Linked DNA regions of Neodiprion lecontei. The protein of the gene in region 1 binds, or shares a complex with, the protein of each later gene. Links are inferred from orthologs where the notes say so. Each region holds a gene or a part of one and is shown in the gene's direction. Other genes may lie near its edges.

What was found.
Region 2: integrin beta-PS (region 1) and unc-112-related protein share a complex: the UniProt entries of both Caenorhabditis elegans proteins name them as parts of the integrin containing attachment complex. The link is inferred for Neodiprion lecontei from reciprocal best matches to the Caenorhabditis elegans genes pat-3 and unc-112.
Region 3: integrin beta-PS (region 1) and integrin-linked protein kinase share a complex: the UniProt entries of both Caenorhabditis elegans proteins name them as parts of the integrin containing attachment complex. The link is inferred for Neodiprion lecontei from reciprocal best matches to the Caenorhabditis elegans genes pat-3 and pat-4.

Annotation. Positions count from the first base shown.
Region 1 is NC_060261.1:40,085,276-40,095,166, reverse strand, and holds the start of integrin beta-PS, read left to right. Parts: upstream 1-4,672; 5' UTR 4,673-4,824; intron 4,825-6,883; 5' UTR 6,884-6,885; coding exon 6,886-7,056; intron 7,057-7,167; coding exon 7,168-7,471; intron 7,472-7,611; coding exon 7,612-7,840; intron 7,841-8,105; coding exon 8,106-8,190; intron 8,191-8,527; coding exon 8,528-9,175; intron 9,176-9,271; coding exon 9,272-9,595; intron 9,596-9,879; coding exon 9,880-9,891. Other genes in the region: uncharacterized protein LOC107220248, read right to left, coding at 46-336, 423-2,501. UniProt on the Caenorhabditis elegans protein: Integrin alpha ina-1/beta pat-3 is a receptor for laminin. Integrin alpha pat-2/beta pat-3 recognizes the sequence R-G-D in its ligands. Plays a role in cell migration, morphogenesis and probably in cell-cell interactions.
Region 2 is NC_060263.1:389,730-399,939, forward strand, and holds the start of unc-112-related protein, read left to right. Parts: upstream 1-4,106; coding exon 4,107-4,245; intron 4,246-4,323; exon of another isoform or gene 4,324-4,650; intron 4,651-4,742; exon of another isoform or gene 4,743-5,595; intron 5,596-8,798; exon of another isoform or gene 8,799-8,939; intron 8,940-10,210. Other genes in the region: acyl-CoA Delta(11) desaturase-like, read right to left, coding at 544-787. UniProt on the Caenorhabditis elegans protein: Component of an integrin containing attachment complex, which is required for muscle development and maintenance. Probable regulator of cell-extracellular matrix adhesion. Required during initial muscle assembly to form dense bodies and M-lines.
Region 3 is NC_060266.1:7,822,622-7,835,195, reverse strand, and holds integrin-linked protein kinase, read left to right. Parts: upstream 1-4,969; 5' UTR 4,970-5,340; coding exon 5,341-5,429; intron 5,430-6,607; coding exon 6,608-6,773; intron 6,774-7,010; coding exon 7,011-7,203; intron 7,204-7,290; coding exon 7,291-7,371; intron 7,372-7,702; coding exon 7,703-8,145; intron 8,146-8,638; coding exon 8,639-8,869; intron 8,870-8,945; coding exon 8,946-9,092; 3' UTR 9,093-9,960; downstream 9,961-12,574. Other genes in the region: SOSS complex subunit C homolog, read left to right, coding at 294-321, 415-548, 1,827-1,985; rRNA N6-adenosine-methyltransferase METTL5-like, read left to right, coding at 2,009-2,392. UniProt on the Caenorhabditis elegans protein: Probable pseudokinase that acts as an adapter protein. Component of an integrin containing attachment complex, which is required for muscle development and maintenance.

The DNA of each region.
Region 1 (9,891 bases):
ACACTCAGTAAAAAGAACGCTTTAATTTGACCAATAAGCATATACCTTCAATCCTGAGGCTTCGTCAACATCCACAATTTCAAACCCAAAACAATCTTCAGGATGAAAGGGTGTTGGATGTTTTTGAGGATGCCTTTTGGGTAGTTCAGGAGGCACACTTGGTAATGCATGAGTTCTGTGCAGTGGTCTGTGCACTGATCTTGGAGGCAGTGGTGGAGGATTTGGATACAAGGTTTCGTAAAGAAATTCCGGTGCTTGAGTACCACCAGTACTGCGCCACAGCTGGTAATACTCCACACTATCGTTTGACGCAACACCATGTTGCTTATATGATCTCTGAAAGAATAGTTATGTGAACATGAAACAGACTTGCAGCACTCCGTACAATTATAAGTTTCCAGAGTTGCAGAAAGAAGTAATACCTTTTTAGTCCCATTACGAGATGCAGCAGCTTGTTGCGATTCAGTATCTGAATTACTCCCATCACTACTGTTTGAAGACCGCTGACCAAGCTCAAAATTCCGAGCCTCATCTAGACGGCGCTGAACAGTGTTTAATGATTCTGAAAGTGCAGCAGAATCTCCCTGGATTTCAAACAAATTAGGTAAGCTTGGTAATCTAAAAGGTTTCATGGATGTAATCACTGTCTTTTGATCGTCACTCGAGGCTATATCAAAAGAATTTTTTCCATCGGTTGCAGTGATCACAGGGGTTCTTAAAGGTAAGGAGGCAGCTCCATCAGTGGAATCAAAACTATTATCTGATTGTAATATATCTTCTCTAACGCTTCTTGATAATTCTCCAGTTGTTCGAATAGATGAAGAACACTCTTGTTCTACATATCTGGTCGACGATTTCCCTGGAATTTTCACAGGTAGATGATCTTGTGAATCTTCTTCTGAGGTCAACAGTTCTCCACTTATTTTTACAGGCATTGGGAGGTCTTTTAAAGCAGGTTGAAAACTCATTGACTCGCCAGGTATTTTCACAGGTGGAGATTCGGCTATTTTCTTAATGTTTGACGAATCACCAGGAATTTTTGAAGGAGGATCTTGCGATTCTTCTCTAAAGCTCGAAAATTCTTCAGGTATTTTTACAGGTATATGAGAATCTAGTGTCTCATTTTCGAAACTCATTGACTCACCAAGTATTTTCACAGGTGGAGATTCAGTCTGTTTTATTAAGTTTGCCGATTCCGCAGGAATTTTTAAAGGAGGTTCTTGTGATTCTTCATTAAAATTGGAAAATTCTCCAGGTATGATTACAGGTGTGAGAGAATCTAAAGCCTCATTTTCAAAAATCATTGACTCTCCAGGTATGATCACAGGCAGAGATTGAGGATTTTGTATAAAGCTTGTCGATTCCCCAGGTATTTTTAATGAAGGATCTTGAGGCTCTTCTCTGCAGCTCAAAACTTCTTTAGGCATTTTTACAGGTACAGGAGCGTCTAATGCCTTATTTTCAAAACTCATGGACTCACCAGGTATTTTCACAGTTGGAGAGTTAGGCTTTTCCATATAGTCTGCTGATTCCCCAGATATATTTGGAGAAAAATTTTGCGACTCTTCTCTGAAGCTTGAAAACTCTGCGGGTATTTTTAGAGGAAGAGAATGGAGATCCTCTGCAAAGTTGAATGATTCGCCAGGTAGTTTTTGAGTATCAGTGGTTTCTCTAACTAATAACTCGAGAGAATTGCTATGGTTCTTGTCTAAACTGTTGATGTGATGAATTGAATTCTGGTTAGGTTCTTCTATAGCACTGATACTAGCTAAGTTTGGTTTACTAGATATTAAATTAAACTGGCTGTCATCGCTCGTATCTTTTTCAGCTGTACCAAATGACTGTGGTTGCAAGAAATTTTTCTGTTTACTCAAAGATTTTCTAATCCCCGTATTCACATCACGAAAAGTATTAGACACATCAGTACTAGAAATTTCTGGCATTATATTCGTACCGTCTTTTGCTGAATTAGTTAGTGAACTTGTACTTGGCAGGCTCTGAGCAGAGCCCTGAAACAAAAACTGTTTTCTTATCAACTCTTTACGTCCTAGTGATGAAGCGTTACTCCCACTTAATACATTCATGGTTTTGTCTATTATTTCTATATCATCAGTTGATATCGACCCATCTCTTGACATTTCCATACCACCTGGGACACCTTTGTCATTAATTGACTGTTCAGGTACCAACAATGTCTGACTAAGTTTGTAATCATTTGCCGTACATCTCGTAATTTGTTTTTTACTTTTAGCGATGCTAATTGAATTATCGGACGGTTTTTTTCCCCCACTATCAACGTCATCAATGACGTTGCTGGTGGTTGCATTGTGGTTGTCAACAATCGAAAATCTGCTTTCAAAATTCTCTGTGTTTTCGTTAATAATTCGCTCCTCACGTGGAAAATTCTTGTTGTTCATAGCCTCAGGCATATCTAGCATAGCGGAACTTTTCCCATCATCTTGATCAGAGGAAAGTGCCGTCATCTCCGTCTCTGCTGGCATCTTATCAGAGCATAGCTATATGGTTACTCACTTCAATTGATTGGCCACTGGCAAATATTGCTGAAAAAACATAAAGGATACGTGAAAAATGTATACTAATCAAATACTTACATAAAGACTATATCGTGTTTTTGCAAATAAAAAACATACTTTCAAGATGTACTGGTGATAAGACATATTTTCGGATGCGTTTATATGATAATCAACTTTTGGTTACTGGAATAAATAACGAAATTTGATTATACTATTAAGTAGCGTAAGTAAATTCGGTAAATATATAGCGGCGTGTGAGGTTGATCTCGTGAAGAATAAAAATAGAATATTCGATATTTCGAATTTGCTGACGTTGGTATAGATTTTCAAAGCTCTCGACTTACCCTCTACGATTGAATTTCGGCATTCCAAAGTAGATAGATCAACAGATAATCACAAACCACACCTCCAGTTTTGATTTTTCATTGGTATTCGGGTATTATTCAGTCTAATTTCCGATAAATCGTACACTTCTGCGTATAATGTGGTGTGTAATTACGATGACAGGTTTGACAGCAGGATGTAGCAGACAGAATCTAGGGATTTTTTTTCTTTTTCTTTTTATTAGTCATCGCTTGCGTTTTGAAGCGAGATATTACGATTTGACCCGCGAAAATCAAATAAGAACAAAAAAAAAACCACGGCCATCAAGAATAGGAATTTGATTATTTATTAATTGAATAAATTCCTTTTATTACAGTTTTAGTCATTTGTTTCGGTCAATGCCGTCGCTTCAGCCTCTCGCCTTTTACAGATTTGGATTGCTGTGATGAGTCGCGCTGCACGGTTCATGTTCTCTTCGAGTTCTTTATAATTACAATTTACCTCGCTGGCGATTTGTTGCACCTCTTGAAGCGTCTGAGAACCAAGAAAAGGATAGTTGAAAATACAGTTTGAGTTATGAGTTTTTTTTTATGACGGTGCAGTTCAAGTTGTCAAAGCTAACCTTCTTTATGTTCCGATAAAGCTTTGCTGTTTTTTCCTCGTCGAATTGGCGTGCGTATTGTACATAGCTGCCGGAATAAGAGGAAAGTGTGTCACTCATGATACATGTAGAAACTATATTTGTACAATAAATGAACTATAGGATTTTATCAGGATATTTTGATTTCTTGACATGCGTTGTTTCCCTCGCAAATGAAGCTGTCAACACAGGCTGTCAAAATATATCAATATGGCGGGCAACGTATTTTTACACAATTCCATTTCCGGATTTCAAATACGACTGAATTGTAAGGTTACATTACGTCCAGTATTTTCAGAACTTCGGGCACAGACTTGCTAGCTTATGGCATAAATTAATTTTAGACCCTGCTCCTATATGTATATAAATAATAATATCAACTGTGGTTGCGGGATGCGAATTGTAGATAAGAAAAACTATCGAGTAACACCGTACCTGCGTGATTGTCAGTCACTGTTTCAAAAACTTATAAGGAAAATTTGCGATTTAAAAAACTAATTATAAACTCTACATTAAGCAGTTCTGTTTCTGTGAAGTTCAGTTTTTTCGATATACTGATATACACGATGTAAAATTTAGTAAGTGCGTATATAAATTGTTTGCAAATAGGGTTTCTGGGTGCACTGAAGGCGCATAATTAAAATCCGAATACGTAACATTTGCAGCTTACTTGCGAAACACGAACCTTATATGCATGCAAAGTTGTATTATGTTTCAAGATTATTTAGATTTTGTAGCCGCAGCTGAATGATCGCATCATCATTGAACGATGACTAATTCGTCGCTGATTTCCCACCGGAAACTAGCGGATACGCGGTTGTGGTACAGATACTTAGTAATCAACATATAAGGCAGGATTGGAGAAATATTATACAACATACATACTCCTGTGAACAGTCGGCGAGGTTGGGCGCAAAAATAGTCGTATAGTCGCGTACCGAATTAGTACACTAGACATCATCATTAGAGCTGAATAAGCTTATTTGAATTTCCCGCTTATTTGGAAAGTGCATTCGGCGAGATGTAACGAGCGCGTTATCGTGAATAATCGGATAATCTCGGGTCTTTCTCGGGTGCATACGGGACGGATGTGAGTTCATCGATATAACAATACTCGCATATGCTCAATTCGAAATAACTCTTCTGATATTTTGTCCAACTCTAGTGACCAGTCGTCTACCCGACGTTGAACGAACGGCTCGTTATTGAGTCGTTATTCCGTGGCGGTGTGGGGTTGCCTTTTATGGTGATCCAAAGTTGTGAAATTATTTCTTCGGAGTTTGTGATGTTATAAGGACAGCCGATAATCACCTTCAAATCTAGAAAGTAAGAAATGTATATCAAATTTCATATCCGGCCTTACCGAGTTAAAAATACGTATATCAAATTTATGGTTCACGGATTCTCATCTCCGTAACCTTTTTCATGCTAATGCGGTGTCTTGTAAATATAGAGATGACGGCATTAATGGATGGGTAATCGAGACGTGTTCTCAAACCTAAATGATCTGCAAGTGGAACAAATCTTTGTCCCAAAAATATCACCGTTATCACCCTTCGATTTACTGGGCAAAAACCTTATTCTTAAGGGACAAATATAGCGTGGGAGAACTGGTTTTCGGCCGCACCTCACTCGCGCATTTCACAAGTACAAATACCATTTATGACAACGTTCTACGAAACGAAAGCGCTTCTTGTTATTAATGTGCGTCACAAGAAGTAGTGAGGAAATATCAATCCTTCGATCAAATCTAAGAAACATTTGATTTAAAAAATTTCCTCGACCCTGCAAGTCAAACGGATCCATCTCTTAAATTTAATTAGATAATTAAACAATTACTGAAATAAAATTTCACGTTTTCATTAGTACCGAACAATCGCTACACCCGTTTACAAATTAGATACATTGTTTTGCTTGTTGTCAATATTCTCAACCTATTATTAATTATTATACAATCAGATGTCGCTCTTGTTTATAAAATTTGCTAATATGGATGCAAAAATGTTGTATACGCCATTCATGCGACCATTTGTTTGGTAAAAAAATGTGATATCCAAAAACAAGTTTGTAAGAAAATGTTTCAGTTCTATATAGTGAATCCATTATCTTACTTTCTTGTTTGCACTTTTGCTCTTGAGATAAGTATGCATGTTTCCAGCTTGTGTTCTTAAACGTAGCAGTATAACGTATTATTTTGGTATTCAGTTACAATTGAAAATTTTCAGTGATTTTTCCGTAATCTAGGGATGAGGAAAAGTAATTTTTAATCAAATTTATTGACATTGAATCATGTATATCGGATGATTTCATGCCAATAATCATTCACGTACGAATATGACCAACCAGATACCATCATCACAGCATGTGATATTACCAAGTAAAAGTATGATGTCTTACCTTTGGCTTACTAAGAAAATCTGACTCAGCAGCTTAATAATAGACTCCTGTTGCTAAATGTGAGGGTGTAGAAATAAGAATCCTAACTGACCAAAGAAGTATTATATTTAGCTACAATGATAACATTAATTGGTATTATTAATTTTTACTTAAATATGTCAATTTTGATTACTTTATGCAATGCACGATGCCGGTACTTTGCAAAATAAAACGGATAATGTTTCATTGTACATTTATTGTGGTGGGTTTTTTCAATGGTCAGTGTACTTATCATCGAGCTGATTCATTGGAATTCATTTCATCTTAAATTTTACATTTCTTGTACTTTTATTTTATACTTAATTTCATTATCCTCTTGCTGTACAAAGTAATTTACACTTTACTAGAATGCGTATTATTTCTCTCTTAGTTTCACATATATCTACCAGTTTCTTTCAATTATTATTCCAAGTAGACAGCATAATCTGTTTTCATGTTAATTTTCAACTGTCACACGATATCCTTATAAGGCTTTCTGTATAACCACATATGGCTAACCAGGAATACGTAGGGCAACTGAATGTCAGAAGATAACGTCTATTTATTTAGAATTAATATTCTGCTAACTTTGTTACAAGACTGTATTCAGGAATTCACACGCTTGTAAATAAATTTTAAAAAATTTGACTCTTCAGTATTGATATCGAAAGGTGTAATTTGTTGCATAGTAATGTTTAGTACCATTGTGTACTATTGTGTCAATGAAGTTGCCTTTTTATTTTAGTAGGATTTTCAATTTCATCATAATTAACAGATGCGGCATTAGATTCAAATTTCCTTTGCTTAATACTTTTATATTGGTTTTTTATTTTGCGATTGCATTGAATAAGGGCAATCCTTTTCAATAAACTGTGCAGTACAGCGGTTCTGAATTTGTTGAGGTATGAATTCATACTTGTTCGGTTGCAGTGAAATATGCAGAATGTAACACATATCCATTGATCTACAGGGATGTTTGGCAGCTTAGAATGGGCCCTGGCCCTTGTCACAGCGATAGTTTTTGTTGCTGTCAAAGCTGACTACCCTCTACCTGAAAGACTCACTGGAATGAATCCCTGTATCAGCAAGCAAACCTGCCACGAATGTATACAAACTCCACATTGTGCTTGGTGCGCTGCTCCTGTAAGTTGGATAATTTTTTTCTATGTTAACAAAAAACCCTATGTAACGGAATGGGCTACCCTGTTGTTACATCTGTAAGTATATGTAAAATATGTATTCCTATGTTCACAGAAATTTTCGGAGATGAGGTGTTTTTTGCCAAACATAAACACAAAAATATATGCTACGTGCCCAAAGAAATATACGCGGTATCCGAATAATGTTTATGATGTGATTCGGCACGCGGAATTAACAAAGGGTGGTTATTCATCTGTAGCAGGTGGTAGTGAATTTGAGCAAAGTTCATCCTCTTCTTCGTCTTCCTCATCGTCTTCCTCAAGCTCTAGCTCTAATCATACGAGTTCTAGCAGTGGTAGTAGGAGACAGGAGGCGATTCAAATCTGGCCTCAAGAAGTCGATTTGACCCTTAGGATAAGTGAGTGAGATTTTTCAAATTCCAATTATTGCTAATTGTTGACAATTTTGCTATTTCCTGAATTATTAACAATATTTTTTACCAGTGAATTTTATTCTTATATGCAATAATTACTTCATTCGTCTTTTCCATTGCTTTAGATGAGGTGCATACTATGTCTTTTTCATACTCTCAAGCCGAGGATTATCCAGTTGATCTTTACTACCTCATGGACTTGAGCAAGTCTATGGAGGATGATAAAGAGAAGTTGTCACATTTGGGAGATTTATTGGTGCAAAGTATGACTAAAATAACAAGTAATTTTCGTTTGGGATTTGGTAGCTTTGTCGACAAAGTAGTTATGCCCTATTTCAACGTTGTGCCTAAGTCGTAAGTAATGAAAATTTAGTTTCATTCAAATCCATACTGTATCTAAGGTGTGAACAGTTGTTGAATGTTGGTGAATGTGTGCATAGACTTGGAAAAGCAATCAACAAATTATTATTTATATATTTGTCAGATGTTATGTTTGCTCAAAAATTGAATTACAAAAAATATTACAGGAATTGAGAAGTTTAGAAAAGACAGAACCAACGATCCTTGAAGTTGTTTAATACTCATATAGCAGAAGTAAAAAATAAATTTTATGTTTCAGCCTTGAGGAACCATGTCCTGGTTGTGCAAAACCGTATGGCTACAAGCACATCATGACGTTGTCACAAAATACTAGTGTTTTTGCTGTAAGTATATCTAAATTTTATTAGTCATCTTCATAATAATTTGTATCTATGATATTTATGCAATATGTCAGCACTACATGGTATTGTGTTGATATGTGTGTCCAATTATTAATTCAAAGATTGAATAACGTATGCAATATTAAATGCGCATTCCTTGCGATGATGTACAATATTATTTCTGTCAATTTATTATTATCATTAAATATTGAATAATGCACATTTTAATGGAACTAGTCACTTAAATTGATTTTCAAGCTATAACTCCATTAGAAATGACTATTAATGGTGAGAAAACTTGATTTCGCATAGTAATTGAACATTGCTTTGCCGATTATAGGATTTGGTTCGTCGTGCATCAGTGTCTGGTAACTTAGATGCTCCTGAAGGAGGATTTGATGCTATAATGCAAGCAATTGTGTGTCGTGATAAGATAGGATGGCGTTCCAAAGCTCGCAGACTTTTGGTATTTTCAACTGACGCAGGATTTCACTACGCCGGGGATGGCAAGCTTGGTGGCATCATAAAACCTAATGACGGACTATGCCACCTCGACTACAGTGGGCTGTACACTCAATCAACATCGCAAGATTACCCCAGTATATCGCAGATTAATCTCAAAGTAAAGGAGAATGCGATCAATATTATTTGGGCTGTAACTGAGGGTCAAATCCAGATATATAGAAGGCTTACAAAGCATATCGAAGGTTCATTTGCTGGCAAGTTATCTGCCGACTCAAGTAACGTAGTGGATTTGATCCGCGAACAATACGAGGCTATTTCCAGTTCTGTGGAAATGAAAGATACAGCCAGTAGTAGCATAAAAGTGAGATACTACTCGAGCTGTTTGGGTGCTGGTCCCCCGATAGAAACATCGAAATGCGATGGCTTGAAAGTTGGTACCAAAGTGGATTTCTTTGCGAAAATTGAAGTTACCAGCTGTCCTAAAAACAGATCTGAATGGAACCAAAAGTTCAATATTTATCCAGTAAGTAGTTCAAACTTGCAGTATGGCTAATAAAGGTTTGAGAGAATCAAATTTGAAGACTTAGTTTGAAAAGCTAATACCTCCTTGATGTTTCAGGTCGGTATCAACGAAACTTTGACTGTTAATCTCCACATGATATGTGATTGTGACTGTGAACATGCTTCGCACCCCATGTACCAGATAAATTCACCTGAGTGCAATTCAATGGGCACTTTAAAATGCGGGGTCTGTGATTGTTACGACCAGTACTTTGGTAAAACATGCGAGTGTACGCGTCATCACGAAAGTGATCAGTCCGTTATGCGTGACAAATATTATCAAAGCTGCAGACCGGATAATACATCGTTGGTTGACTGTTCTGGAAGAGGTAGTTGTGCCTGTGGTGTATGCGATTGTGATACCAGACAAAACCCTGATGAAGTAAGTTTTCAACTTCCTAAATTTTATGTATTCAAAATGTCAGGTCTGATGATGATGCTTGATAATAGCCTCAATTATAATTTTTAAAGTTTTTTATTTGATCGATTGCACTAAATAAAAAACAAAAAGATTAATCAGTAATTCTGTGATCAGATTTATATCTGATAGGCTTCTCTACGATTTACGAAAATTATATAAATTTACACAGTATCGAAGTGCGAAGATATTAGAATAATACATATTCGGAATTATAGTTTGAGAGACTTTATCTAATATTGTTATAGGTGATTTCTGGA
Region 2 (10,210 bases), on another chromosome or scaffold:
TTTTCTCTTGTGCAAGCAAATCTTCTTTCAGACGTCCACCTTAGGTGATCGGCTATAATTGGAGGTGTAACACAAATCAACCATCGAAACCTAAGGTTGTAAAAAATGCTTTTCATTGAAGATTATGACACGTATTTAACGTTCATCGCAGTGTTCTCGAATAGTGAAATCAACGGATTATACTGACGAGGTTGCAGTTCGTAGCATTATTAAAGCGATGCATTTTCGGCAGAACGGATTATTTTGCAACATTAGCATTGTCTGAGATTAAGCAAAACATAGTAAAGTCAGCTCATATTTTGCAAAATAAACTCATTGAAAAATGTTCCGAACATGATGTGAGATTACAATTTTTCTCACCGCGTTTCGGTACGTTGACGTTACGAATTTCAACCTCATTTAAATTGTTCGTAAAAAGTTTTTATTTAATATAAATTTAGCAATCAACGAAGGGACCGCCTTGAATGCCGACTTTACGTATTAGATTCAGGAATATCAGCTTGAAGCACTTCAATAAATTAGGCTAGATTTCGTATAACTCACTCCAAGCAACGGTCATCGGTTTAATGGGTATCGAATGTAGTCCGAAGGCGTACATCGTCAGGGATCCTACCAATCCAACGTTGAGTATTACCATGGGAATAAACTGACTCCATTTGATATTATTCCAAATGTAATTCCACGTCCAGTGTTCGGCAATTTTCTCTCTGTATGCCTCCTCGCATAGTTTCTCGACCGTTGTTTCATCACGTGCAGCTGCACCAGCGTCCGCGAGTGTGACGGACATCTCGAAAACTGCGGTATATTAAAACGGGATACCGCCTCTCGGAGCACCTGAGACCGTCGAAACTATTCAACTAGCCAAAATCACTGCTATCACTGGAACAGTGATGAAGAGCCGACTCGTATTTATAATTGGCAAAGGTAGGCTAAGATTCTGTCGTGGGAGAGAACCAGTGGTCAAATTAAATATAGCTACCTCCAAAATTCGAGTCGAGTTGTGTCTGTATTTCAGATTTCGGAGCTATAATGAAAACATAATATGCACATACATTTCGGTAGATCTTTATGCTATGAGATAATCCTTGATCGATACGTGACGGATTATGCCGATCATTCGTATCGAAATGTCGATGTTGTAAGGTATGATATTAGTGATGGATCTGTCCAACAGATAACGAAGTCGTAGACTTGAATACGGTTGTACGCCGAGGTTGTAGGGTTTGGACAGTTCCTTGAGTAGACATATTTACATCTTGTGGGTATTTTAATCTACGAATTCTTAATTTCCAGATAAACGTTCACTCAAATAGTGGATCGACAAGTTTACGTAACGACAGATTCTGTTTATTATCCTATCGTTTTCGTAATTCTTGGCTTCAAAAATAATTCTCGCGCCCAATCAACCCGTACTGATTGTACTTCAGTACAGTTTTATAACGATTACACAGGGTAAATTTGACAGGAGTCAACTTTGAGCGATTACTGAAGCAGGATGATGCGTTATATTGCCGTGAAATAATTTAGAGACGTAATTTGAATATTGAAAAATATGCTCTCAGTGATTAATTGTAAAATTTTGATTTGATAGTCTGAAGAAAAATTTTTTCGACAAAACACGGATCTTCACTTAGAAATTCATAACTTCTTCAATTTTTCATATTTCTTGGCGAAATTTCAAGACGGTACTTGTGCGGCATCGCACATTCGTGCAAAAAAAAAAATAAAAAAATAGTTTGGTACGGTGTGTTTTAAAACGTGTATTTGTTTCAAACGTCGACCTTGGTGATTCAGGGCTTGAAAAAATAAAATAATTCAATGCCATCTCCAAAAATTTATTGGCTCATTTTACTACTGATCATTTCACCTGCATCCCCATCTTCCTCGATGAGATCCTCCGTCATGAGGCGTGAACGAAGATAATACGACATCTGAACAATCGATAAATAACAATCAGCGATGAAAGAAAACGTTTTTAGAAAATTAGGTCGATCGTGCGACATAACTTATTACGGGTTAAAATCGATCATTCGTTCTTTCAGTGATAATATAATTTTTAGAGATTCCGTTCATTTCCTAAGTTACGAACGTCGTGGACCAGAAAGGAAATTCACTGTATCGACAGCATGCAAGTGACCTTTAACAAAGTACTATCGATCTAAGCGACATAAATTATGATAGAAATATTGGCGAACGATGTTAATTTAACCATTGGAAATTATAATACCTGCCAAGCGTCCGCGACAGATACTTGATTTGATTTCTATGTTTTGGCGGACAGGAAAGGACAGAACGACGTTAATGCCACTACAAGGTCACGTTTCAATGAATTATTGATAGGAATTCGAAATACTATGCGCTACCCGCTCCTATTTCTACAATTTCAAACTGAATACGGTTTTATTATTTAGAAATGTTGATGCAGACTCAATTCATTTATAGCTGTATTAGCGTAAGGGGAGCAGATTATTCAAGTATTCTACAACGCCGCCCTTTCGATGAAAATTAATTTGGAACTTGAAACTTTTTATTGCATAAATGTTTACTAGTTTACTCTGTATAAAAGTACTTGTGTCATGAATATTTATTATATATCTATAGTATCGCAGACTCTGCATACAGTATGAAAGGAAAAGGCATGCGTGTTGTTAGATGCTGATTACACAAGGGATCGGATGTTAGATTTATTTCCCAGTACTGTCAATGCGAAAATAATTAAATTTCCGCTCCTCGTCCACGAATGAGAATGGAACGGGAAAATGAATTTATCGACCCTTGTGATCAAGTGCTTTATTATAAAACCCGCAGGAAAACCTTAAGTATTTCCAAAAATAGTTGTTTCCGAAATTAATCAGTCAGTTTTGTAAATTTGAGATTTGCAAACGATGCTCCGCACAAATTTTTGAAGCATCTAATAATATTAAGGGGTTGCCCTGATTGGTTTCGACGCCGACTTATATATCTCCAAATATCAAAGTCCACGTACCTCAAACGCGAAGACGGGCTTAACAACCCCATTCTATACGCAGTTCTGAATATAAACACTCCGATACATTTTCATTTGACGCAGAAATAAAGAAAATGTCGCGAATTCTGTGAATTCGCAAGGGTAAAGTACATATACCAAGTACATATTTTCGAGGTTTCGTATTTATCCGACTATCTCCCGCTAAGCAGTTTCATTTTTCGACGCTGCAGCAGTCCGTACGATAGGTTGGCAGGAATTACAAGCAACAATTAATCGATCGTAGTTCTTAATCGGAAGGTTCGTTAGTAGAAACACCGTATTGCAAATCTTGTAATAATTATTTTTCATATTATACACCGTTTATAGTTGTACGAAATTTTAACACGGTTCTCTGTTTTCCCGATTACTCAGGTACGGAATTCAAAAATAGCGCCACGGCGTGGGTAACCAAACGTCAAGTTACCGCGTGCGGTAAGGTAGGACTCGATCTTACAATCAGATGCGTCTCGCAGCGCCACGAGGTGGGCGACCAATGAACAAGAACGAAAACGGGATGCGGAGCTAACGGAAGTCGGTCGTGGATGTTGGGCGAAGCGGCTGAAGGGGGGGACCGGGACGGACAAGCACGGATGGCTCTGTACGGCGTAGACCGCTGAGCCGTCCGGAGTATTCTGGTTTGTCGTCGAGTCGCGTAACGGTCGCTCGAGTGGGAGATAAGAAAACTTTTGTCGATAAGCCGTGGAAAAAGGCTGAAGATATATAGTAACGTAGATCCGGTGTGTCGGTGTCGAGTTAAGATCGCGCGTTCCAAGGCGGATAGAATTTTCGTCCTTCCGAAGGCAAATAAAATAAAACCGCGCGCAAAGGTATTGCAAAAGTTTGTTCTTTATTTTTTTTTTTCGTTTGTTTTGTTCTCGTCGTTCGATAAAGTTTTACACGAAGAGAAATTCCAGCCATGATTATAGTGCGAGATTTGATTCGAAGAGCGTAACAAAGGCTCAGAGGAAGAGGGAAGAGGGAAGAGAAGAAGGCAGGCAGCCGGGCAAAGTGCGTCGAACGTTGAAATCCGGAATCGCTCACTCGCTCGCTCGCTCGCAGGTATATATCTCGGCTCGCAGGCCATCGTCAGCTAAACAGGATGTACTCCGACGGACACGAGGTCGACGGCAGCTGGGTGCTGCGCGTCTTCGTGACCGATCTCCAGGTCGAGAGAAGCCTCCGGGTTAAGGGGGAACTTCACATCGGTGGCGTCATGCTTCGTCTCGTCGAAGACCTTGGTGAGTTGATTGCCAATTAGCGACAGGCATTTCTATATATATATATATATATATATCCATATTCCTATATATCCGTACCACACATATGCCTGTGTATCGAAAAGTGAAAATCGGCATCACGATCCGATCACCCGTCACCGTCTCTTCACCGCGTGTTTACTCGATCCGCACTCCTTCGGTCCGGCTGTAGCTTCCGTGCAAGCATCAGCCGCGCTTCGTTCATTCGAAGTTATTCCAAGATTAACGCTGACGCATCGATATTTACACACGTCGTTGCGTGTACTATACATAAGGCGACGCTCGAGGCCGCCGCCGTCTCGGTTTTCTTGTTTCTTCTGACTCTTGGTCGGACAGCCGCTGGATGGCTGGAGCCGCCGTTCCTGCGTTGCGGGGCTCTTCGAACTTCTGCAAAGAAGAAAAGGAAATGGAAAAAGAAAAATAAGAAGGAGAAGAAGAAGAAAAAGGAGGAAGAGCGAGACGCATTGCGGAGACCGTACAGGTAGCGCGGCTCTTGTCTACGCTGGCTTGATTTTTACTGTTGACCGGCGTTAATCTTCGGCCTTTAATCTCCCACTCTCTATCCCCTCCTCTCTTGCTTTCTCGAAGAAGAAGAAGAAGAAGAAGCAGAAGAAGAAGAAGAAGAAGAACAGTTTTAACCTCGCGAAACTCGGTTCAGAAATCGCGTCATGAACCTACGGCCTCGAAAATAGCACAAGGAGACGAGCTGATCCCCCGCGATTACGAGCTTCGTTACGGAAGAAGACCCGCCTCGAATAATGAGCGTGAAGTTGGTAACGTTACTGTAACGATGCATGTTAAGGAAAAATCGTTACTTTGCACCATTTATTAGTAATGTCTGCAATTTAGTAAACCACGATAAACAAAACATGTACTCTTATTTTCGAAAAGCTTACTATTTGAAAAGTCATTCTAAAACTGTGCAACGACGATTTTTTTCCCAGATCTTTCGCGTTACGTTAACGTTACAGACTTCAGCCTCATCATCTCGAATTGAATCGGCCCGTTCTCATCGTCGTCTCGTCGCTCCGTTGGCGCGGCCAATTGCACACTTTCAATAAACCCATTCGCTGTAGTAACTGACCGCCGTCTCCTCGTCTCAGTCTCAAACCGTGTACGTACATGCTTGGGAGTAAAACGAGTAAAACCCACATGCGACCGTCGTTTTGCGCTACGTGACTTGTGACAGGGTTTAACGCACAACCGAATCGGACGATGATATTAACCGGGAGATCGCGCGTATTTTATCGGCGGTAAGACAGGCAGGCAGCGAAGCAAGCAAGCAAGCAGTCAGGCCGACCGAACCGAACGTCAGGCATCATCAAAGGTGTATTTTCGGCGTGGCGTAGAGTCGAGTCGAGTCGAGTCGAGGAGGAGAAACGAAACGTTGGTTGTTTGTCTAGGCGGCCGCACGCCGCGCCGGCTTGCGTTATAAACGCACCACCTCCCCTTCCTCCAGATCTGTGTGTATATATGTATGTGTATATAATATATATACATATCAATGTAGCTCGTACATGCCCGTACGCACGCACATACTGTGCGGTGTGCATGCAACGGCATCCCGCGCCTCCGCCCTTTCACGTTTATTTTAAACTAACACCTTGCGACACGGAGATAATATTGGATAATAGACCCGTGCTCGTGCCAGGCTTTGTGGTAAAAACTTCATCGCTCCTCAAGGGGGTGACCCAGTGGATTTCAACGTTGTCCTACCTAGCTTCAAGTATCAAAGTACACGTATCTCAAACGCGAAATAGGGCTAAACTACCCCATTTTCTGCACAATTCTGAACAGAAACACTCCGATGAGTTTTCATCTGACGAATAAATAAAGAAATGGCATGAAATCTACGAATCTACTATTGGGATTTCATGGAAATCGTGCCAGTACTTTATTTCTGCGTCTAAATGAAAATGCGTTGGAGTGTTTTTGTTCAGTATCGTGTGTAACGAATGGGGCTTATTAAACCCTTTTTTCGCGTTTGAGATACGTGGACTTCGATACTCGGAGATATATACGTCCAACGTCGAAACCGACCAGGGCATCCCCTTAAACAACCCTTCCTATCCGCATTTTGCGTAATATCGCACTCTTCTAACGATATGCACGCAGAGCGTACTCGTCGGCTGTACTCGGTATTTCGAATGAAACAAACATTACGCACCGTGTGAACTCGTGTGTGATACTTTGAATCGGCTTTGATGTATTCGGGGTTCAGGGGTTACGAGGCTTATATGCACGTGGGGTCGTCGAGAAGAAGAGCGGCAGGTAGAAATCCCGACGGGCGATATAATCTCTATCTCCGATCTCCCGTACAATCTACCCTACAGATATACATGCGTATACGTATACACGCGTGGCGCGCGTTCCTCGACAGGTTACGCGTTATGTATATATTGTGTCGCGTATAACTGCAGGTGCTTTTCAAACCACAATTTCGTCAAATCCCTCCGAATGTTCATCTCGCCTTCATATTTATGCGTCGATGCGCTTACAGAATATCGTACATACTGTAATACTTTCTTCAACTGCGCGCTATGCACGTAATAAAGGATATGTGTCACGGTTCTGTTGCAGCGCTTTCCGTTGTACCGTTCTTCTCTCGAAACATACTTACACACTCGCACCCAGGCATGTAGTACGTCATATACACATGCAATCCTCCCGCCGGATGTAATTTCTTTATACATATAAATAGCGTATTAAAGGCCAATGTAAATGCATGATTGTACGAATTATCGCGAGCAGTGGGGGGGAGGCAGAGAGTCTCTCTCGTCGTCATATGGCTGATTGTAAGAATTAGGGACCCGTAACTGCATTGTATGGTAATAAGAGTTTGTCAAACCCGGCGTATAAACAACGACGTCCAAGTCTCGTAATAACGCAGGCGTTTGTTGTTTATTATTATAACGTAAAAATGAAATGCTCGCGTACGAGAGACGTGGAGAAGAATAAGGAAATTAATATTACAGTACATTGTGTAAGAAGGGAATAATCGAGTCTTATTCGCGTGTTACGTATACGGCTCTGTTCCCGACTTAACTCTGACCACATTACTGACTCAGGGTTTTCCTTTTATGTGTACCCAAGTGTGATCCATCATTCTGAAAACTGTAATATTATTTGAAAGTTTATAGTGGTACGGATGAGAGATGCAGCTCAAAATGGAAAATAAGGAAAGTCCTATTTACTACCTGCTATCTATTGAAAAAAAGAACCAGTATTGATTATTCTTGTTTTCCTTACTATATTCGGGAAAATTTGGCTGTAGTATGGAAATTCCTAAATTTAAAACTGTTTGCTCAAGCTGAAAACATTAACCAAAAATGTTCTCCTTGGAATCACTCAATATTTTTTTGTCAAGACCGAAATTTTCCGCACCAGTACGCGTCGAAATTCGAAAAACGTGGTTTTGCGACACACCCTTGTATACATGTACAATATGCACGTGTAGAAACAACGCATGTGGCGAAATAAGGAGGACCGCGAGTAACGGTAGTGCAGCATGAGAAAACCGCCAGCGTCTGGCTTCGCTCGTGATCCAGCCTCACAACAATCAGCTGACCGTGCGAGTCGTCGCAATTTCAGTCTCGATTCTCGTCTTGCAACACAAGTTATCTGGTTACCATTTTGCTTCGGCGACGAGCAGCGTAAAGATTTTATACATGCGTATAACGAATGACAAAACAGAGAAATGGCGAGAGCGGAAGAGACCCGGCGCTTATCGCTCCGCGATTCCGGTCAACGATCGTCGCATTCATTGTTCGCTATTGCGTATCATTTTCTCCTCCTGTTATTCATGCCTGGCGCATATTATGCTATAGGTGTACGTCATTTTTGAAATTCTATTCGCGTGCGGCATCAAAGAGAAGGTTTGAACGTGTAATTTAATTACATTTATTCTGACGGATTGATTGTACGAGTACAGAAGAAGTAGAAGAACAAAAAGTCGAAGAACAAAAAGGAGAAAGATGTATCTACGCTATGTTCGTAAATGATATAACGTGCGGTGCAATCGTTAGTGTTAAATAAGACGAGGTTGAAGTTGGTAACGTTCGCTCGACGAAAGACTGGGAATAAATTACAAAAAAAATCTTATTTTTACAATGATTTCGAAGGAACTAAGATTGCAAAATATGAGCATGTTTTTTTCTTATTACGGTTTACTCAATTTCAGACAGTTTCAAAATCGTGAAGTAACAACGGTTTTTCCTCAGCAGAAATCGTTACGACAACGTTACTAACTTCAGTATGTTTCGATGAGTCGGTAATTTTTGCTAACGCGTTGCATACGGCTCGTTACGCAAGCGCACGTAATACATGTGCAATAATATATTTATACAATGATAACGAATTGACGGAGCTTGATGCTGAGACCGGAGAGCAAAATTCTTTCTCTGAAATTTTTCTTCGTTATGAAATGCCACAGCATACTACGTCCAAGTGGATCGCGTGCTATAGCGTTGACTTAGATAGCCGCTACACGCGCACACGCATCGAAACGAAAGTACACACACACATGGCGTACCTACCTACCAGAGTTGTTGAAAATTCTGAGAAACAATGCGGCAGGAATGCAGTCTTGGCGCAAAGATGCTGACAAGCTTTACTGCCTCTTCTGCCTCTTCGCTGTACGCGTGTCCCAGTCTTATCAAACGTCTATCCGCATCGTGAACCTGGGTCAATAATTAAAGGTGGTCAAGTTCCTAACGTTAACTTAACGATTCATTTTTACGAGAAATCATTATTTCGCAATTGCAGGATCCTCTCGAATTGAGTAATATATTTTTTTAAAGTAAAAAGCGCTGTGCAGATTTTGGAAATTAAACACCTTTAACGTCGTTCTAAATTTTCAAAACATTGATTTTAGTTTCAATATTTCGTTACATTAAACGTTACTAACTTCAATCTGGTAATAATGAGTGATTTGCCAAGCTCGCTGAATTTATCAATTCGTCATTCGTCACGCGATCTAATCGGCGAACGGAAGAATAGAATCTGGGCCACAGAACGCGGCGAGCGAGTTGGGAAATGACTAAATCTCTTAATTGAAGCATATTATTGTTTTTGTGTTTTTTTTTTTTTTAAATTACTTTACGATTTAATTGCATTAGTCCAGGAATGATGTAGCGGAATTTTTAAAAGTTCGCGCATTGCTTGTTCGTTTCACATTATACGTATAGGCAGCGACACTGCCTTTTACGTATATCTCGCGATATAATATCGCAATGACGCGCGTCGCCTATACTCGCAACTTCCATCTCGGTTAAATTTGTCGCTATACATATTGCATGTGTGGCGTATACACACGTGTGGTCCGTGTGGGTTTCATACCTCTGACACGTATAGGTATGCGTGTCAGAAGACGTTTGCCCGCCATGCTTACGACACTTTACGGTAGCCTCCTTTATCCTCACCTTATTCTTCTTGTTCTTTTTTCAATACATTTGGATTCGGTATTACAGAGTTCGTTTGTCGTAGGCGTCCTGTTTCGTATATACACACACGCGTTTTACGGCGAGCAGGGCGGACGTGCGTATAACGCCTGCCTCTCACTCTCTCTGCCTTGTCGGTCCGATTTTATGCGTGACGTAGGTGTGCAGCGAGCACGTCTTGTACGAAGGTGGTATAAATGTATAATAAGGTAGGTAAAACGGAGCAGGGGGGTGGCGATATCCTATAAATCTTTCGGTGTTCTTGCCCCATTGAAAAAAAAGAAAGAAAGAAAAGAACAGAAACACCCGATCCTCCTTTTTGTTTATTCATTCAACGTTGGCGATCTTTCATTAGAAACTAACCGACTACGGTTCTTCGTGTTTTCTACTCCGTCTCCTTTGTCAGTTCCTTCACTTTTTCTCTTTCCCGAGTAACGTAGAGTATACGGTAGATGTACAGGCGTAATATGTTCGTATCGAATTATACGAAACTCGACTTTCCGTACCTA
Region 3 (12,574 bases), on another chromosome or scaffold:
GACAGAGAGAGAAAGCAGTTGACCCCCACCTCATTCCTTCTGTGGGACACTTTTCGAAGGCCTTCATGCTGGGATTGCATAGTCGATGGCCTGGAAACTGCTCAGAGTTTAGTACTGCTTTCAACCACGGCACGCTTTTTAGCGCTACAGTCGCAGCCAATTATCAGTACACTGGTTGGGCCGCCGCCATCTGATTTCACACTAGTTGTGGCTAAGAATTCGTAGGAGTTGGACGTGTCTCGTGTGATATTACGTTAAAGCGTTCGGCTGCTGAAGTTTGACGTCCCTATCAAATGGCTTTTTCGCAACCAAATTCTAGAGGTAAGGATGTGAGATACTTCATACATGGTTATGTGTAAATTGAAAGTCCCAAAAATTATCGCGACTCCACGTATGCCTATTGTTTTTTCCCAGAACTAGAAAACAGAAAAATACTGGAAGAAATACAGTTGAAGAAGCAGCTACTTTTGAAGCAGGGCGTTACGCCTACTCTTGGAACTTCTTTGACTCCGCTTGACGTATCACCCGCTACTCCTGCTGCGACTGAGGTACGTCCGTCAAACGAATCCTTTAGTTTCGGATAAGATTAGGTTGGTTGAAGTGAGGTTAGGTTATGTTTTGTTTGTTTGAATCACGGTGTAGGAATAATAGGTGGCCCGGCTGTGATTATTTTTGCATAATTCTGTACTTCTCCACCAGACGGATATGGGTCAGTAAGACCACTGTAAACAATGATGGCGGCATGTGGTGTTCGAAAGAGAGGAGGGTAATTTTAGGTTAATCATGAGATGAGCGTGTCATATTTACAAAAATATGAGCAGAAGTTGCAGTTGAAAACATAAAATACCAAAAATAATAACAAGTTATAAAATATGTGAAACATAAAGCAATACAAAATAAATATAAGTCATAATAAACCTATGAGGTTAAGGTTCGTAACGTTGACGCAACAGAATAATCGAAAACAAATTTCAACTTTGAGGGTTCGAACCTTTCAAAAACAGTAAACTGCACTACATAATTTTCCAAGTTGATTAAGACATTGTGTCCTGCTTATTTTGCAATTATAACAATATTTGAGTCACAAAATTGTGCTTTTTCCGTGTATCTTATTGCATTAACGTTATGAATTTCAAGCTGCTAAAACTTACGTTTTCATCAACCTACATAATTTTCTCTTTTCACGCTTATGCTTTAGATCGTTTCGAGTACGAATTTTCACCCATTGTGGTATTCTCATAGTTATGTAGTAATGCATGATATATGATACAATTTCATCCTTGTGTTGTTCGCTAGGAAATGAAAAGCTGTAATTCTGTATCATATCAGACACAGTAGGTTCATATACAAAGGAATTCTCAGATTCTATGTGCTCACAGAAGTATTTGATCGGGGTTGAAATGTTTTTGGCAAACATATTGAGTCCTTTTTATAACTATCCCAGTAAGAGCAATTGTATCTCTCCATTTATTACATATTTCGATTGCTTTGGGAACGGTGAAAAAAGATATATCTTCCCTACACTCGTCTTGCGCACGTTGATGACAAACATGACTCCTGCCCATATTTAAATAATGTTTTTTTTCTCATAGTTTATAAATATCGTGTTATTGATTTGTTTTGAACACTGCGTTTTGCCATTATTGTTTACAATGGTCCTACAGATCTGTAACCATCTGGTGGGCGTGCAACGAATTATGCTAAAATAATCACAAGCACTTGGCATTGCGGGGATAGGGCAGCCCGACCACCTATTATTGTTACACTGTGGTTTGAATTCACGTGGATCGCAACACTATCGCACTTTAAATATTTTACACTATCAGCAGAATCCTGCAACAACGGTGGATGGTATAGCATTGAGTGCTTCTCAAAGTGCAGCCCTTCAGAACGCACATGAAGCCTCTACTGGGTTCTTCGTCGCCCAGGACTCGGCCTTTGGTAACTTGATCCTGCCAGTATTCCCGAGGTTTGAGATCCAGTGAACTACTATCAGGCATATACAAGAATGGTTATTGTGACTATAATGGTACCCATGCGATTCAGAGAGCTGGAAGAGTGTCTTCAACAATTAGATGGATTTGAAGAGCCAAAAATTCGTCTTGAACAATATTCCACGAGCGCTCACATCGGGGCGCACATCCTGCACACAGCATACACACACTTTGACGATATAGGAGGAAAGGCTATTGCTCACTTGGGTGCAGGGTGTGGGGTACTATCACTCGGGGCCCGACTTCTTGGCACTAGTCATGTCGTCGGATTTGAAATTGATGCCGATGCGCTGTCCATGCTCAAAACTAATTGCCTTGAGTTAGAAACTGATGTCGAGGCAGTTCACTGTGACCCCAGTTGTGATGAATCTGCCTTTTGGCTCAAAACGCAATGTTAGAACGGACGTCAACTTTTTGGAGACAACAGTTAGTATTGCTTGACATGCCGTCTACTCTCTCCACAAGACTAGCACCCGGGATCATGTGGTTAGGACTGCAAAACGCCTTGGAACAACGGCAAAAATCGTCGCTGAATTACGATACGATCTTCCTGGAGCGTACAAGTTTCACAAAAATACTTCCATTGATGTCCAAGTCGATTTTATAAGACTTGAATTGGATTAGGTAAACAACATGAAAAGACACTCATCCTCACTAATCAATTTCTATGTGTAAGCATAATGGAAGATTTAATAAATTTGTACAGAAATAGTGTTGTAGTTCTTTTGTTTTGTTTCATTGTTATTTCTACCTGCATAAATTATGGTTTGATTTTTTCACAGTTCACTCGAATTTGATCCCTTGAGCCAAGGGTAATTCATTCCCATAGTCGATCGTTATTGTTACCCGTCTGGCATAGTGTTTCCACGCATCACTCCCATTCCTTGTCCTCAACCAGTCGCTTTTTTCTCCACCAAATGCTCCAATTTCTGCCCCGCTATATATCTGTATCTACAATACTCTGGTACGACAGCGCAATTAGTGGGCAAACAAGGAAAACAGTTTGGTCACACTACGATAACAATCTCCACCACTTAAAAATAGCAGAGTTCCCAGGCCTGTGTGCGTTGACTGAGAATATATCATAGTTTATGGGATATATAAAGACTGACCATGATTATGTGGCAGCTTTGGTTGTCAATTGCAAAATATATCACGTGACTGGGTTTTTGTACCCCAAATTGAGAAAGCAAAATGAGTGTCAAGTATGTCACAAAGCCTTTCAGTCAGTTAAAGAAAATGATACTCTTGGCGAAGAAGAATCGATTAATATGAAAACCAGAGGTGGTTCAATTCATGGCAATATATTTCTGTTATCTCTTTCATTAGCAATTGAGAAATACTTCTGTAAGCACATAGAATCTGAGAATCAATCTGTATATGAACCTACTGTGTCTGATATGATACAGAAGTACAGATTTTCATTTCCTTGCGAATAACACAAGGATGAAATTGTATCATATATCATGCATTACTACATAACTATGAGAATACCACAATGGGTGAAAATTCGTACTCGAAACGATCTAAAGCATAAGCGTGAAAAGAGAAAATTATGTAGGTTGATGAAAACGCAAGTTTTAGCAGCTTGAAATTCATAACGTTAATGCAATAAGATACTCGGAAAAGCACAATTTTGTAAGCACACTTAACCAACTTCGAAATCACAGTCGCCGAGCCGCAGCCGTACCACCTATTATTCCATATCATTCTTACACCGTGGTGCCGGTGTTAGCCTAACTTTTTGCAGATGCTTTACGATACCGTCACGAGCGCATGCGCAATGCCGTAAGATAGAGATGAAGCTACATATTGTGTATATATATATCAGTGACATATTATGACGCTATCTCTTTCGGCTCGCTCATGGAGACTAGAGGTAAGAAGTCTGAACGCAATGCTAGCCAAATGATCGGTGAAAGTGATGAACGATCCGCGGATTGTAACCGCCTGGCAGCGCTACCACTGCAGGCTCCGTCAGCGCGGTGATTTTGAATCGTCGATCCTACGTATGTATCCTATTCGTAACCAGGCGCTGGTATCGCTTGCGGATACATCCCGTCTACAAGATTTTTCATCACTTTCACGAACCACTTTTCGACGATTCCGCCATATGCGTTCGGACTCCTTTACTCTAGTCTCCATGGGCTCGCTGCTCCTTTGTGCCGTGTAGGCCGTGTAGGATAGCAGGTGTAGGTTTCAGTGTCGTTGCTGTGGTCCGTGTCGACAAATAAACGCTGCATTTCCGTAATGCCTGGTCTACACATACGCTGTAAGTGGGGGTCTTAAAGTGCGCCTCCATTAAAGCTGATGTGTAGCCGAGTTTATATGAACTTCAAGCGCCTTCCACTCAAAGATTTTCTGAATTCCACTTTAAGCTCAATTTTCAACGAGAAGTAGTGCCAATCGTACCGAAATGACAGATTAAAATCTCGCGTGGTTTGAACCCGTTCTTTGTGCTTTGTTCTTTTCCTCGGTCGGCATTTTGCCGTAACCAAGTTTGGTACATATTTATTACTTGAACAATTATTGATATGAAAATATAATCCATGTTCAAGTATCACCAGAGTTTACAACAAACAAAATGAGTTTCGAATTACAGATGAGAGATATGTTGATTATAAGCTATTCAAAAAATGAAAAATAAAAGATAGGTAAGTGATTATTAATTAATGAATAAAATTGCGGAGAACATTGCATTATATTGCTTCATATATTGTATTACTGAGGTTATAAACACTAACTGACAGTTTTTAAGTTCTTCTCGTTACTCCGTTTGATGGCTAACAAGACTTTCTAACCTTCGTGTAGACCAGGCATAAGCAGTCGGTAAGCGTAGGGCATTGCCGTTACTTCCGCACCCTTTCGCTTCTTCAAAATGCCCTATTGAGCTGGCCATCATGAGCGTTCTTTAGCCAATGGCTAAATCGGAATGTCGATCATGGCAGTGCCATCTAGAGACAATTCATAGAAGCTTGAGACGAATGAATCTGGGAAGCAGCGATATGATCCCGCATGCGACATCGCACGATCGCACACGGTGATTTATAATTAGAGATGTCAGCGTAAAGAGTTACACAATATTTGGGTGTGTGCCGATGGAGTTAGAAATACGATCGACAGTGTTAACGATTCATAAATTCTCATCCCAGAGTTAAAATCGTCGAGTTATACGTTTGGTGTGTCCAGTAGCTAATTGCAGTTTATTACAATCATTGATATACGTGCGTATAAATATGGTTATATTTAGAGCGTGACCGAAGTTGCTCTTTTTCGGACGTGACGGAGTCGGCCAGCTATATTATTTTTAGAGAGCGTTAATTAATTGTTATAAACCCCTTTAACAATGGAGGATATATTTCACTGGTGCCGTGAAGGAAACGCGATGCAAGTTCGCGTCTGGCTCGATGACACCGAACATGACATGAACCAAGGGTAAGATCATGGGAGTTGCTCATTACCATTTATGGTTGAACGCTGGGAAGTCCGCTGCAGTTTCGCAATCAGCTGATCTTGACGTGTTTTCAGCACTTTTTAAAACTCTTGTCACTAGTTTCCAAATTATTGCAGGAATCGGAATAATCGCTACATGATGCAGGACAAAATTATGAAAGCTCTGTAATAACGAATCTTTTGATACATCAATGTATAATATTTTTTGTACGAGAAATTTCTTATCAAAACTCTACCACAATCTTGTTATGTTTTTTTCCTTAGCAGGAAACCAATGTCACCCATCCGTATTACTACACTGTGTAAAACATAATGCATATGCGTTGTACTTGGAAGACCCAACATTATTATGTCTGAAATTTTCAGTAATTTGTGATATAGTGAAACATACGCATATTTTGCTAACTACTTTTTTTGAATTCATTCCAGAATTACAGAATTTATATTGCTAATTTGACTACCCTCAGTCTCTTACCTCTGTAAATATGTTACTGGAATTTGATAAAATAATGAAAGAACAATTGTCACAGAGTGCCAAAATTGGTGAAGAAATGTTTGTCAAAGTTTCCTCTTGTCTGCACAACAATGATCGACTTGTTCACTTTACTTTTTAATTTGTAAAATCAGTTTTGTCAACAAGAAAATGAATGTCACTTTTATCTACATGAAAAAATAAATGATTATTCTTTTAAAATAATGTTTGAATCATAATCACAATATAAATTGTGAAGAAAAAAATTGTACTGACCTGACTTATTGAATTTTTTTTACTCTTTTTCTCCTTTGATAAACGAACTTGCTTCCGAAAAGAATAATGTTTGATTTTCATGTCTTGCCTTCCTTTTCTCGTATAATTTAATGCGCCGTGGGTCGGAAAAACCAGTTCAACATTTCGTAAATTTGGTGATACCCTGTTGATATTGTAAGCAAATATTATATGCAGTGACGATTTTCTTGACATCGACAACAAGAAATTTGTTTACGTTATTGCTCTTGATTATAGCCGAAAGGTAGGCATTATACAAATCAGAAATATGACTCATGTTCATGTAAATTTGAGGACAGTGCATTATTTTAAATATTACATTTCCAACTAACAGTGAATATTCAAACATTCATATAATTCAACTCTTGTTTCCATTTGTTTTAATTTTCATCAGGGATGATCACGGCTTTAGCCCGCTGCATTGGTGCAGCAAGGAAGGCCATTCAAAGTTGGCTGAATTGCTCGTGATGCGAGGAGCTCGCATCAATGCAACGAATAGAGGAGACGACACGCCACTCCACCTTGCTTCAGCACACGGGCATAAGGACATTGTTCAGTTGGTTAGTATTCGATATTTGTCGTACTCCTTTGTATTATTATAAGGAGAGCATCTGAAAAGTTACACCCCAATAGTCTCGAAATTAAAAACTGTGTTCAAACAACAAAGATCGGGTCAATAGTTTTTTGCAAATCTTTATCATAGATCAGCTAGATAAAATTTGCTCTTAAAGCCAATGAAAATATGTATCGGTGAAATTGAGAAATTTTTTTAATTGCAATTCTCTTCTTTTTTATAGCTGCTGAGAAATCGTGCCGATGTCAATGTGACCAACGAACACGGAAACACCGCTTTGCATTATGCTTGCTTCTGGGGTGATCAGGCGGTGGCGGAGGAATTGGTAGCCGCTGGAGCTTTGGTTTCCATCGCCAACAAAGACGGTGATACTCCGCTGGACAAGGCTAGAGGACCTCTGGCAAAAAGATTGCATGGTAATGGGATATACTTTCTCTTCTTTATTATTGTAAAATGTTATACATAATACCTAGTAATGAAGAAAATGTACTTCGTTTTTTCAGATCTCGCCGTTGAATACGGACAGGACTTGAAAAAGATTCATTTCAAGGATCAAAGTTGGCTTGGATTGAAAACCAGGAGCAGTGAGTATCAAAATAACTAAGTCAATGATTCAAGGCGTGGATTAAAGAAAGGCTCGAAACAATCGACTCTGTTAATATTGTACCTTTATATGCTTGTGATATTAGTAATGGTCAGTATCTTTTCTTAATCTGCGTCAAGTTAATTTGAGATTTACTCTTTAATTTTTTAACTTCTTCTCAGCTCTATTTTCTGCACTCTTCCATTATTTACATAACAAAAAATGCCTTTTGACGTGGATATGGTCGATTTTTCTAAATGAAAGTTTCTTGCGATCGTTCACATTTCCTCGCTATTGCAGTAAAACAGATGAGAAAATCCATGTTTTCGCAGGGGATGCAACTTTGTCAAGACACAAAGGAATCAATATGGCGGACTTATCGCTACATACTCACTTGGCGAGTAGTCCGAGCGGTGAAACCTGGAGAGGACGGTGGCAGAACAACGATATCGTGGCAAAAATACTAAACCTCAGAGAATGCACCTCTAGAATATCAAGGGACTTCAATGAGGAATTTCCCAAACTCCGAATTTTTTCTCATCCCAACATTCTCCCAGTTCTTGGCTGCGTTAACCAGCCTCCACAACTCGCGACCGTCTCTCAATACATGGCCAGAGGCAGTTTACATCGACTTTTACATGGAGGAACTGGCGTCGTTGTCGATACAGCTAGGGCGCTCAGATTAGCATTGGACGTTGTGCGGGCCATGGCTTTTCTGCACGGGCTTGAAAGGCAGAGCAGATGTAGATTTCATCTTAACAGTAAACATGTCATGGTAAGCAGGGGAAGCAAAAATTAAAAAAACACTGCGTAGTACGTTATCTGATCTTGCAACTAGGTTTCATTGAAAGACACCGTTACAGGGTGGCGACATAAAATCTAAAAATTTTGCAGGGAAATATTGGGAAGATATTTCTTTTTGTTTTTCAGAATATTTTCAGTTATTTTGTAATAATAATTGACGACAAATTGGATATCAATACGATTGCAATAAATCGAATAATTTTTCGATTTTCACTTTGATGTAACAATTACTTAATATTACACACGATTCTCTAAAAGGTACCTTGAACAGCATATGAGCATTTTTGAATCATGATATTGGGTATTAATGGCGCAAAAATGGCAAGGAAGCCGGAGAAAATAGGCTCATTAAATCAGGAAAATTAAAAAAAATTAAACAGTCCGATTTCTGGTGCTACTCTGTATTAAAATATTGAATTGTTTCATGAATCCTGAGAAGTGAGCATGTTTCTCATGATTTCCAGATAGACGAGGATCTCACTGCAAGAGTAAACATGGCTGATTCTAAGTTTTCATTCCAAGAAGTTGGAAGAATTTACGAACCCGCTTGGATGTCTCCGGAAGCATTGAATAAAAAACCTTCTGACATTAATCTCGAGGCCAGCGATATGTGGAGCTTTGCAGTCCTGCTCTGGGAATTGGCAACCAGAGAAGTACCGTTCGCTGATCTTTCCCCCATGGAATGCGGCATGAAGGTCGGATGCAGTTACTGCAATTCCAGCTTCCGTATGACAAACTTGCCTTAACGAGTCGAAATCTTATCTATTCCAGATCGCTATGGAAGACCTGCGCGTCAGTATTCCACCAGGGATTTCTCCTCATCTTGCGAAGCTGATTCGCATATGCATGAACGAAGATCCTGGTAAACGTCCCTCGTTTGATATGGTCGTGCCTATTCTTGATAAGATGAAACGCTGATGGGTTACAAGAAACCACATTGTGTTCATTTAATGTTCTTATTTTATATACACACATGCATGTATGTATACGTCGTAACAAGCACCAAACTGCTGCATTCTTTTAATACAATCTAACGTAATATATATAACATCGTATAACTTTTTCACTTGACTTAATAATAATAATAATAATTTGCATTCACATTGCATGTTCACATTGGTGCCTTGAATATTTGAAATAACTGTAATATTTTTGATAGAATCTATGTATACTATACAAAACTCCTGCCTCCATGATTCTTCCAACTTATCCAATGTTTATTATCATAGACTTGAACCATGAATATTTGTTGAACCAGTATGTTTCACCGAATACTCTCAGTATATTATTCATTAGTATACATATTATATATTTGTATTATACATTTTCACTTTATATACCCGTAATGGATACTTGTAAGCTGGAGTTGAAAGCTTTATCGTTGATGCCTTTGTACAAATTATCAATGTTTGATTTTTTAATATTCTACCGAAGGTCTGAGTTGCGTTCTACACTGTTTTATATACACCTATACATATATAATTCTTCAAATGTTGAATATTTATATGCATAAATATATTTATATTTATTTGTCGATGTCCGCTTCTTAGTGAAGAAAAAAAAAAAAAAAAATTGTAGAATTAAATGCTTGTCTTGACCTGCATTGTGCTTGCCACAAGGAAACATCTGCAATACTCTGTAATTGTCCTTGACATTTCTTTTCGCAATTTTTAACGCTAGAGATTAAAACAATGTGTATTTTTAAGTCTAACGATCTTGTCAATTTATGTTCAAGTTTCATTATTTACAATTCGCCAAAAAATAAATAAATCTCAACTAAATCATACATTGAGTTTCAATACGGTCTGCAAATTCGGTTGGATGCAAACCATGTTTTATCGATCACGTCTTATCAAGAAACAGGTCTAATACAAAGTGTCTCAACTATTTCATTCCTGCCGTAAAATACCTTATACTTAATACTAATTATGCAATACGCATGGTCTGTCCTTGTTACAATATGTTTTTTTATTAATTACGTAGTTTTATATACATCCACCAATGTCACAATATCAAATACCTATCAACTTTTGCGTAAAAAACAGTTCATTCTAATCAATTTATAGTTGTTCCCATAAATTTCGATATGTCCTAAAACGAAGTCCTGCAAAATTTCTAGTTAATTACGAGACATTGCTTGCTAATAATTGAAAACGCAGAATATCTTACTGCTAAAGATTGTTTGATATCCGAGGATTGTTTATAATGTGGCCTCCATTTCTTGGATAGGTAATGTAAATGAGGGAAAATAATATGGATTAGTGTGGAACAGGCATTTTTCTTTATTGGAGATTAACAAAAAATTCAAGTTCAACTTTCCAGAAACCTCTTATCACCTCAAGTTCACCTGCCGTTGTAAGAATCTTGTATTACTGTCAATCACAGCGATATTGTGAATTCAAAAAACGGTGCAACGAAACTGTGAATGATAAAGCGATATCTTTTGACAACTGAAACATTTATTACACAACTTATATAATTACTGTTAATTCATGAGCATAAGAAATCCCATTTGCACTTGATTTTTGTTTCTTACATAAGCTGAACGTACAATCTATTCGGATAAACTTATTTCGACCAAAGAATTTTTAATTGACAGGATTAATGGTTATTCTCGATAAATATAAAACGCGATTGTCTCTAGATTGGCTTTTAAACGAATTACTTTTCTGATGTCAATTACATTTCTTGTGTGGTATAAGTTGTAATCGCGTGAATTCAAATTTAATTGACTATAATTATAGGATTGAGTGCAATGAAAAGACGGGTCATTTATAGAATAATGTGTTTCAATTATTTCTCTCGTCAGACTGATCATTCAATTGACATTAACTTAAGTTGAGACCAAATTCATTGACCAGGAAAAATATATTATATTCAGCTTGTACGACGTATTCACATTATTTGAAATTGGGTGAGCATCAATTCAGTTTCATAATCATTTATCTGTATGAAATGTAGTTGAACGATATTTTTGTTACAATTATTTCAGTTTCAGTATTTTCTAATCTTTATCATCGTATGAAGGTGATATTAGTGATATATCGAAAAAAGCTAGAAGGAATTGAATGATTCAAAACTTGAAAGATTTAGGGTCAAAGCGAATGTTGACAAGTATGGAAAGATTAAAAAAATTTTTTTTTTAAGTATCCCTTCTTATGTCAAATTGTTTCACTTTTACATTCAATTCGCTTTCATTTGCTGTGATATTCAATTCGGCATACTCAGCTGCTATTTGATCGATGTTGTGTATAGTATAATTACTTTCTATACATCCTCAAGGACAACACCCTTCTTCTTATATTGTGACGTACGCTGCAGACAGTCTGTAAATTGACATACACTGCATATTCAATAGCCTGGCACTTGAATACTATTAAATACTTGCTTACTGAATTGCCTGATATTGAAGACTGACGAGATCAAGGCTGTCGACATAATCAGTGCAGTAATAGTTCTCGAATCGTAAGTATAGTATAGTCACTTGTTATCGCGATAGAAGAAATTTTACGACTACCAAGAAAATCAATTTGTTAACGAATTCCACGATACATTTTTTCCAGAAGGCGCATTGAAGTAGGTTGCCCATTTTTTCCGTTACAGTGAGTTTTTGTTTCGGGATTTAACAAAAATAAAACTGCAATCAATTACAAATTTTCACTGATATTCCACTAATTTCCAGTGCATATACACTGACTTTCGCCAGTGGTATACTTATAAGTGATCCGCATTCAGAGAGAAAGATAATAATTGGTGAAATCAAAAGTGGTCAGTTTCAATCGCATATTGAGTTGGCATGCATGCCCCATATTTAAATTTTCCAACTAAAATCATTGTCAATATATTGTGAATTTGAAATTTATGACAGTGAAATTATGAATCCATTATAAGAAATTTTCGTTGTATATTACAGTGGACTGAAGGTATTGAAAAAAAAAGAGATTGAGATAACTTAGCTGTTTAATTTGAAATTAAATTATCCACGACATTAGCGAGTAGTTGAAATTATGTGAGATCGATTTCAGCCTCATTACTAACGGAACTACAGGAAAGCAAAGGAATTCTTGAAGCAGAAAACTAGATTTTGTTGGAGCTGATTCACTTCAATCCGATATCCCTTATTTGTTCCAAATACGATGACTTCAACAATTTCAATTTAGTTAGTTGGTTAAAATGATTTAGTCAAGCGAATTTCTTGATTCAACTGAAGCCTTTCTTGTCGCAATAGAGTGAACTATTGATTCGAGTGAACTTTTTGATGTGTTTTCCTAATTGGATCAACTAAATACCATTGCATTCGAAGTTGATGTATTTTTCCTCTAAGTCGCATGTCCGTTGACAGAAACAATTGGGTTAGGTTAGGTAAATATACTTCAAGTAAAATAAATGCATGAATCTAG